Alligator mississippiensis: one gene and its partner. Each later gene encodes a partner of the first gene's protein in a complex. Links are inferred from orthologs where the notes say so. Each region holds a gene or a part of one and is shown in the gene's direction. Other genes may lie near its edges.

Region 1 (3,910 bases):
AAATGATTAAAGCTACTGTGTCACTTGCTTTCTCATTGACATTATTCACAGTTACTAGCTATCCTTTTGTTTGCAGTCAGTAAAAGTGGTATCGTGCATTTGGAAGGCACTCAAGCATCAGTCTTTAGAGCTGGATCCGCTATCTGTCCTCACTGCATCCAGTAGTCAGGACTGAAAGTTGGTCATGGTAGCTGAAAGGGTTCACTTGCATCCCCACTAAAGTTGTTAAAGTCCCACTGTATTATAACATGGGAGTCCTACTCAGGACAAGTAGCTTTAATTAATTAAATGCATCTCTTCAGACATAGCCAATAGAAGTGCCCTATACTGGTCATTTATGTATGTAGTACCCTCCCCGCACCATTTCATGTATGTTGGGAGGACTGAGTGACAAAGCATGTGTAAAAAAAGATCTGGGAATGAGATTTAGAGACTAGAACAGGACTACTATGAACTAACAACAAGGAGCTCTTCACTCCAATCTTGGATGAGCCCCTTACTCATGTGGCTTTTTTGTACCCTAAACAACGTAGCTGTAAAGCAGGCCACAATAGGTGCTCACAGCTGCTGTAGCTAAGTTTGAGCTTTCCTGTGGAAATTAATAGCTCCCCTCCATGACATACAGACAAGCCTCAAACTGTTTCTGTACTCCAGTTCCAGCTCCACTTTCATTGGTAGCAAATTTCTCTGTGACACTAAAAACGTAAGTCTGGGTACTTCTCACTACAAGATCTGAACTAAGGAGGTTTGCCAATAGTTACAGACAAACAAAATCTTAGTCATTTAAAGGGAAATACACTCTTTTCCTCCAGTGCTGGTAAATGCCACTGTATATTCCCATGAGGCATTTAGAACCACATTTGGATTTTTTTTATATTTCCCTCTTTCAGGCTGATGCCACTGTTTAAAAGTAGCAGCCCACTGTCAAGTCCAAAAACTTAAATGAACTTTCAGCCATTGCCTGCATATAGAAGTAGCATCTGCTTCCAAAACAGGAATCAGAATTACATAGGAAAAAAGCCAGTTCTGCCCAATCTGCAATAATTTATCCACATTTATGAGCTATGAATTAAGAGAATGTAAGCAACAGAACTACAGTAGTAGTAATAGATACCTAGTCTGGCTTGCGTAATACAGTCCTTTCTGCAAGGATCCTGACAGCAGAAGGAAGAGGTTCCCTGACCCCAAAAGAGGCCTCTTATTCTCTCCCTTGTACAGCCGTTTCCTTCAGGTTCGGTCTCGGCTGAACACGTCCTTGGGCCCTCAGTTTTTTGAAGAAGTGGTTTTATTGTGGTTCAGTGACGTATGCCTTGAGAGCCACCTGCAGCACTCGTTTCACTCACTAGGGTCTCAGGATTGCAGACTTCAGTCCGGCAGGGCAGCTTCTAGTACCATCAACCATGAGTGCACACCAGCCCGGCACCTGTGCTACCAGAAACCCACTTCGGTTGCTTGGTAAGGGCATATACAGTATACAGTCTCCTCTGCTCCCTTACTACTTAGTCCTTTCTCATTCCTACATTCCAACTTTCTCCCCTCATTCTTTTCTTCTCTTTCCCTCTTTTTCAGCTCTTTCTTTTTCTTCTCCTTCTCTTTCTCACCTTTCTTTTCTCTTTCTTGGGTGCTAATCTCTCTTATCTCTCTTTTACACCTCTTGTGTCTCCTACCTTCCCTAGTCCCTTTAGGCTTTTGCATCCATATATATAAAGGCGGGGGGAGGAGGAGGGAGTTCAAACTAATGTTTTAGGTGTTGTTTTCCAGTGTAAAGAATGTTAATGTTGACCTACCCTGATTGTCTTAGGCAATATAAAAGCAATTTTTTAGATAACTTTCCTATGGAAAACCCTGGCAATAAGCTCTAAAAGTGAATCTGTGCATTTTTTGCTGTTATATTGGGTAGGTAAGTTTTGTTCAATGGTGAAAATGGAATAACAAATGCTTCTGGTTTGTTCATTGCTATGATGACATTCCACTTTTCATGACTCGGTTTCCCCAAGAATATACAAATTCATAAAGATTTAGCAGTTAGGAGAAATGGAGACCACAGTTATTCTGAATAAGATGCCCACTGAGGTATTTTCCTTTGACTCTAAAATAAGCTGCTTGCTGACGTAAACATGTAGTTTGTTAAAAAATCAGGACTGAAAACTAGCGGAGGAGGGGGGTTCTGACTGCCATATATGACTGGGAAAGTCACTTTGTGGCTTAATTTCACCAAGGGATAACAACTTTTGTGTGCTTCACAGAACTGTTATTAGAGATCCTCATCCATGTTTGTAAAGCCCTGATTTTGAGATCTTTGGAGGAAAGATGGAGTAGGAATAAAAACTCTTCTTTTGCGATATCCTGCTTCAAATGACTCTAATGAAACTGCTACTGAAACATATCATGTCAAAGATGTATTTTGGTGCATTTTCTTCTTAGAAATCAAAGGATCTAAACAAGCAACCATTGTGATAGTCTTAAATAGCCCACTGAAAAGTAAGCATTAATTATCATTGTCTGTATTACAACAGTGCTGATAGGCCCTCCTTGAGATCAGGGCCACCTTGTGCTAAGTATTGCACAAAGGCAGACTGTGCCCTGAAGAACTTACCTTCTAAACAGACAAAGGGTGGGGGACAGGAGGACAGTTGTTCTTGGTTGTATTGCTGCTCATTGTGGAGATGTTTGATTTAGCCATTCAGAAATGTAGCAGAAATCAGAAGCCTTGTCATTTCTATGGAAATTACTGGCTTCATACACTTATACATACATTTTTTTAATACAACTGTTTATGGGTTTAATGAGAGATACTGACATTCTTTAAAATGAAGTAACATTTTCCCTGAGATTATGTCAAGGTTCTTCATTATTCCACTGAGATGTGAACTGAACACAAGTAATGTAGAAGATCCTAGGCTAACAGACTTTATCCAGCTGATATAATATTGTCAGCAGAAAACCATGCACTTATCCAGAAAAAGAAAAACTACATTGAAACTCTCCAGAACTGAGACAAGTATGACTACACAAAGTTAAGGCTCCCTCTCTGTCTTTACTTATAGGTCTGCAGTTGTAAAAATCTCAGCACAAACCATGTTTTACACGTGTTTATTGCTGCAAAAGTCAAGTATCAATAGTATGGAGAGAGATCCTGGTAACGTTATAAACCAGCGCTTGTTTGTTTCTCTTACGGTTTTTCTGGCCACCCTCACCAGATGAGATGTCTGTGTTTACAGCTAATTTACCTAGCGTGAAAATAAACCTTACTTTCACAAACCCTGCTGGCAAAATACAGGGAGGTGATGGAATCCAGCTCCCTTCCTCAACCTCATACTTTAGGTTATGACTGGAAAAGCATTCTCTGCTCCTGTGTATCACTTATGGAGATGCATAATCGCTGATCTTGAGGCTGTCTCTAGTGCCAAACTGAACTGGTTTCTTGTAGCTTTACCAATAGACCTCTCCATGGTGCCCCAGTTAAGAAGATTATTTATAAGGAAGTAGTGCTTGTGCTGGCCCTCATTAAGGTGCATTCTGCCTGTAACAAATTGGCTTGTTTCATTTATCTGTGTAACATTCAGTTTCTACCACAGCCATTCCAGTCTATTCCAGTCCTGCAGAATCCTACAGCTACAGGACAAGTTAGAGAAATCCAGTTATGAGTTTCTGGCTTAGGTTAAAATCCTGCAATGAAGCCGAGGGAAATTTTACTTGAGTAAGGACAGCAAGTTCATGCCTTAACAGGCTCTAGACCAGACTGCAATTTGTCTGACTGCTAAGAGGCAGTAACTCAAATCAGAGAGCACATAGAACTCAAAGCTCAAGTGTGCCAGAAATGTGATTGGAGTACCAGAAATGAATTCTCCTGAGAATGGAGAATTCATTTCTGCTTTTTAAACAGATAACAGAGAAGAAACTTAAGAGC
Region 2 (3,910 bases), on another chromosome or scaffold:
AGTGCGGGTATCTCAGTGGGTGATATAGGGGTTGGGGGGCCTTGGAGGGGTGGGGGGTCAGGGCCAGTCTAAGGGTAATTGGCATCCTAGGCAGACTGTGTACCTTGGAGCCCCCACCACTTCCAATACAGAGGAAAATAAGTCCAGAATGAACTTTTACTTTTGAGATCTTCTCAGAGGTCTTTCTCCCCTTACAGAACCAAAGGTCTTAGACCAAGGTGGAGCCATAGCTGGCCAGGGCTCTTATTCAGAATGATGTTCCTGTTATTTTGTTCTGCATATAATTTTGGTGCCCCCCCCCATATTTTGGCACCTTAGGTGACTGCCTAGTTCACCTAATGGTTGGACTGGCCCTGGGTGGGGTGACTGTAGGGAGGGTGTCCCTGGTGGGGGAGGGGGATCTGGGCCAAGGGGCCCTATATGTAGAGGGTGAGGGGGTCATGGGGATGGGATGGGAGCCTGGACACCTGGGTTCTCTCCCAGCTCTGGGGAGAGCTGGGGGATGAGGGGGGTAGGAATCTGAATGCCTGGGTTCTCTCTGGGATGGGAGGGTGGGGGGGAGTGGAAACTAGTGTATCAGTTTGGTGGCTGAGGGGGCAGGGCTGGCACCTGAATGCCTGGGTTTGCTCCTGGGCTGGGGGTTTAGACAATCCCTCAATCCCTGCCTCAATCCCCGACTCAATCCCCCTGTCCTTCCCCCTGCTTGTCAAGGGGCACTAGCCAGCCCAGGGCCCAGCTCCTGCTCCTTCCACCCCCTCCCCCCTACCCCCAGCAGGTTGCCACCTCCCCACGGCTGTGTGCAAGGTGCTGTACATGGTCGGGGCATCCGGCCACGGTTTCCATAGAGACGCTCTGAGCTCTGGGACCCACAGGATGCTGAGACCGCAGCGAGCACATGCTGCTCCCAGCCCTTTACGAGTGGGGCTGGGAGAAGGGGGGGGGGTCACTGCGGGGTGGGCTGTACCCTGGCACTCGGCCTCGGGGACATCAGACTCTATTCCCCTCAGCCCTGGGTGCAGGCCCCTGGAGTAGTGAACAACCTCTCTGGCAGTGCCCCCATCCCGTGGCACGGCCTTCTCCCCGGGGGGTAGGGAGCACCTATGTAGTCTTCAGGCTGGTCAGGGGATTGCGGGTCGGGAGTGAGGGGCAGCGGCAGGGCTGGGGAGAGGGGGCAGGGGGCTTCGAGTCCGCGGTGCGGGGCACGAGCAGGGCTGGGCCACGATCCCGGATGCCCAGTGCCCGGCACGGGGCCGGATTCAATATTTGCCCAGGCTAGGTGGGGCGCGGGCAGGGCTGGGAGGATGGAGGGCAGGTAGAGCCGGGCGGGGGGCGCCAGGACCCCATCGCCCCCCTCTGCCCCAGCCAGACCCAGATCCCCCCACCCCGTGCAGGGATCCTGCCCCCCAGCCCGGGGGGTCCGCCCGCTCCGCCCCCGCCGGTCCCGGCCACTTTCACTTTCGGTGGCGGCCTGGCTTGGGGCAGCGGGCGGCAGCGCCTGGGGGGGCTCGGAGAAGCCCCCCCTTCCCCAGAGCCCCCCCCCCACTGCTCAGGTAAGAACTGGGGGCAGTCCGCGGCCCCTGCCAGTGGGGTTGGGGTGCAGATCGGGGTGGGAGGAGGTAGTGTGTCCTGCCCCCATACCCCTCCCCCCGACCAAGCCCTGCCCGTGCCCCTCATCCCGACCCGCAGTGCTCAGTGGTCTGCCCTTTGCCAGCCCTGCTGGTGCCCCTCACTCCCAACCTGCAGCCCCTGTCCTCTCCTAGGCCTGTCTCTACCCCCACCCCCGCTTCTTTCCAACCAATAGCCCTCTGGAAGCCTATCTTTGCCCCCCCCACCCGGGCCCTCTACCTCCTGCCCCTCCCCAGCCCTGCTGGTGCCCGTCAATCCCAACCTGCAGCCCCGTCTCCCTAGCCTTGCTGGTGGCCCTTACTTCTGACCCGCAGCCCCTTTTCCTCTCCCACCTCTGTCCCTCTAACCAGGCCCGTGCCCCTCATTTCAACAGCCAGCCCCCTAACCAGTGACCTGTGTTGCCCCACAGCTGCCCCCGCTTGAGGGAGCCCCCCGGCATGCCGGCCGCCCACCCCTTGACGTGGAGATGACTTGGTGCCATGCACCCCCGGACCCCCAGTCCCTGCCCAGTGCCTCTGTGGTAAGTTGTGGGGAGGGGAAGAGGATATGGGATGAGCCTGGGGAGGTTTGAGGGGAGGGGCTGGTCGTGGGTGAGGGGTGCTCCCAGCTCATCCTTCCACCTCAACAGGCTCCCCTGCTGCTGCTGCTGCTGCTGCTGGCTCTGGCCCCCCCTGGGCAAGGCTGCATCTTCGAACACGATCCTTTCAGCACCACCTTAACCAGAGACATAGAAGAACTGGTAAGAGCCAGGGCCCCACCACAGCTCCCTCTCCTTCCAGAAACCCCCCACCCCGCCCCCAAAGTCACCTCTGACACCCCCATGCCAGTCCCCAGCCCAGTCATGGGCAGCTTCCACCTGGGGCCCCTTCTGCCACACTCCCAGCACCCCCAATCCCCATACCCCCCAGGTGTCCCTGCTCACCTCTTCTGGAGCCTCCAAATCTGCCAGGGTGAAGAGGGACTCCCAAGCAGCCCCCCTATTCCCAGTCCCCCCCCCACTTACCCCCCCCACACTTTTTTTCCCCTCCCCAGACCCAGCTGCTGCTCCTGGACTACCCCGTCTTGTTGCCCTCCAACCTGGAGCCGGTGAGATCCAGGGGGCACCCATGCCCCCCACCTCCCTGCCTGCTCCCTCCTCATCCTGTGCCACATCTCATCTCCCCATCTCTCCCCTCCAGGACCTCTGGTGCTACGACTTCTGGGTGATCCACTTTGTGGCGGCTGAGCTAAGGCACATGGAGCAGGTCGCAGGGCGCAGCCTGAACCCCAAGATCCAGACCGTGGCCAGACAGATCCACTTCCTCCAGGACTGCAACATCAGTGTAGGGCAGGGGAAGGCATGGGGGGTGGGTACCCTCAGTGGGGTTGTGAGGGGGCACTAGTAAGCTTGAGGGGGTCTGGGGACCATTGGTGGGGCTGGGGGCATGTTGTTTGGTTGAAGAGAGGGAGTACAGGGGCTGTGGGTGCCTGTTGGGGGGTGGCTGAGCCTGTGACCCCCTCGCCCCACTCTGCAGGACCCCCTAGGCTGTACACGGCAGGGGCAGACCAATGTGTCGCAGCTGCTGGGCGCCCTGAGCTACCACATGGGAGAGCTGGAGACACGGTGGCAGCAGGAGCCATGGCCTGTGACGATGAGCAACTGCACCTATGTGCGCTGCCGGACAGGTACGTCCCGCCTCGGTAGCCTGGGATCCAGCCCTAAATCCTGGGCCCCCCAGACCTCAGTGCCCAGTACCCCAGCTCTCAACCCACCTTGAACCCCCAAATCTGGGACCTCCAAACTTCAGTACCCATGAACCCCTTCCTTGATCCTCCTGCCCCCTAAAACTACCCCACTGAGCCCTTAGCCCCTCCCCCTGCTCCCTCCACCCCACAGTTAACCCCAGGCCACGGACCACCCAGAACCCACTCCCACTACCTCGTTGCCCTGCAGAGGCCTGTCCCCCTACAGCCCTACCCCTGTCTCCCCTAGACTCTGAACCCCACCAAACTAAGCTTGGTATTCCCTGGCCCTCACCCCCCCCCCATTTCTCTGTCCCCAAACTGCAGGACCCCCAGCCCCACTGAGCTTCCACAGCCCCTCAGCCTTCCTCTGACCCTACTTCAGATAACCCTAAGATTCCGCCCCCCCCCCCATCAACTGCACCTCTCAGAGACCTGGGAGAAGTTGCTTCCCACACTGAACCCCCCCAAATCCACACCCCCCACCACAAGGATGTTCCTATCACCTCTTACTCCACCACCTCCCTGAGTGTCCAGTATATGTGACCCCTCCCCTCCCCTC

What was found.
Region 2: the proteins of FLT3 (region 1) and FLT3LG are in contact, whole or in part, in a crystal structure (PDB 7QDP), measured with the Homo sapiens proteins. The link is inferred for Alligator mississippiensis from reciprocal best matches to the Homo sapiens genes FLT3 and FLT3LG. Residues at the interface, in NP_004110.2 of Homo sapiens: Asp180, His279, Gly280, Phe281, Gly282, Met300, Ser301, Thr302, Tyr303, Asn306, Arg307, Met309, Arg311, Ser333; in NP_001191431.1 of Homo sapiens: His34, Ser35, Pro36, Ile37, Ser38, Ser39, Asp40, Lys44, Lys87, Glu99, Asn102, Thr103, Glu104, His106, Phe107.

The regions. Positions count from the first base shown.
Region 1 is NC_081824.1:427,830,512-427,834,421, forward strand, and holds the start of FLT3 (receptor-type tyrosine-protein kinase FLT3), read left to right. Parts: upstream 1-1,364; 5' UTR 1,365-1,400; coding exon 1,401-1,455; intron 1,456-3,910. UniProt on the Homo sapiens protein: Tyrosine-protein kinase that acts as a cell-surface receptor for the cytokine FLT3LG and regulates differentiation, proliferation and survival of hematopoietic progenitor cells and of dendritic cells.
Region 2 is NC_081828.1:39,620,444-39,624,353, forward strand, and holds the start of FLT3LG (fms-related tyrosine kinase 3 ligand), read left to right. Parts: upstream 1-1,019; 5' UTR 1,020-1,550; intron 1,551-2,035; 5' UTR 2,036-2,092; coding exon 2,093-2,146; intron 2,147-2,254; coding exon 2,255-2,365; intron 2,366-2,658; coding exon 2,659-2,712; intron 2,713-2,804; coding exon 2,805-2,948; intron 2,949-3,140; coding exon 3,141-3,291; intron 3,292-3,910. UniProt on the Homo sapiens protein: Stimulates the proliferation of early hematopoietic cells by activating FLT3. Synergizes well with a number of other colony stimulating factors and interleukins. Required for the development of B cells, and dendritic cells (DCs).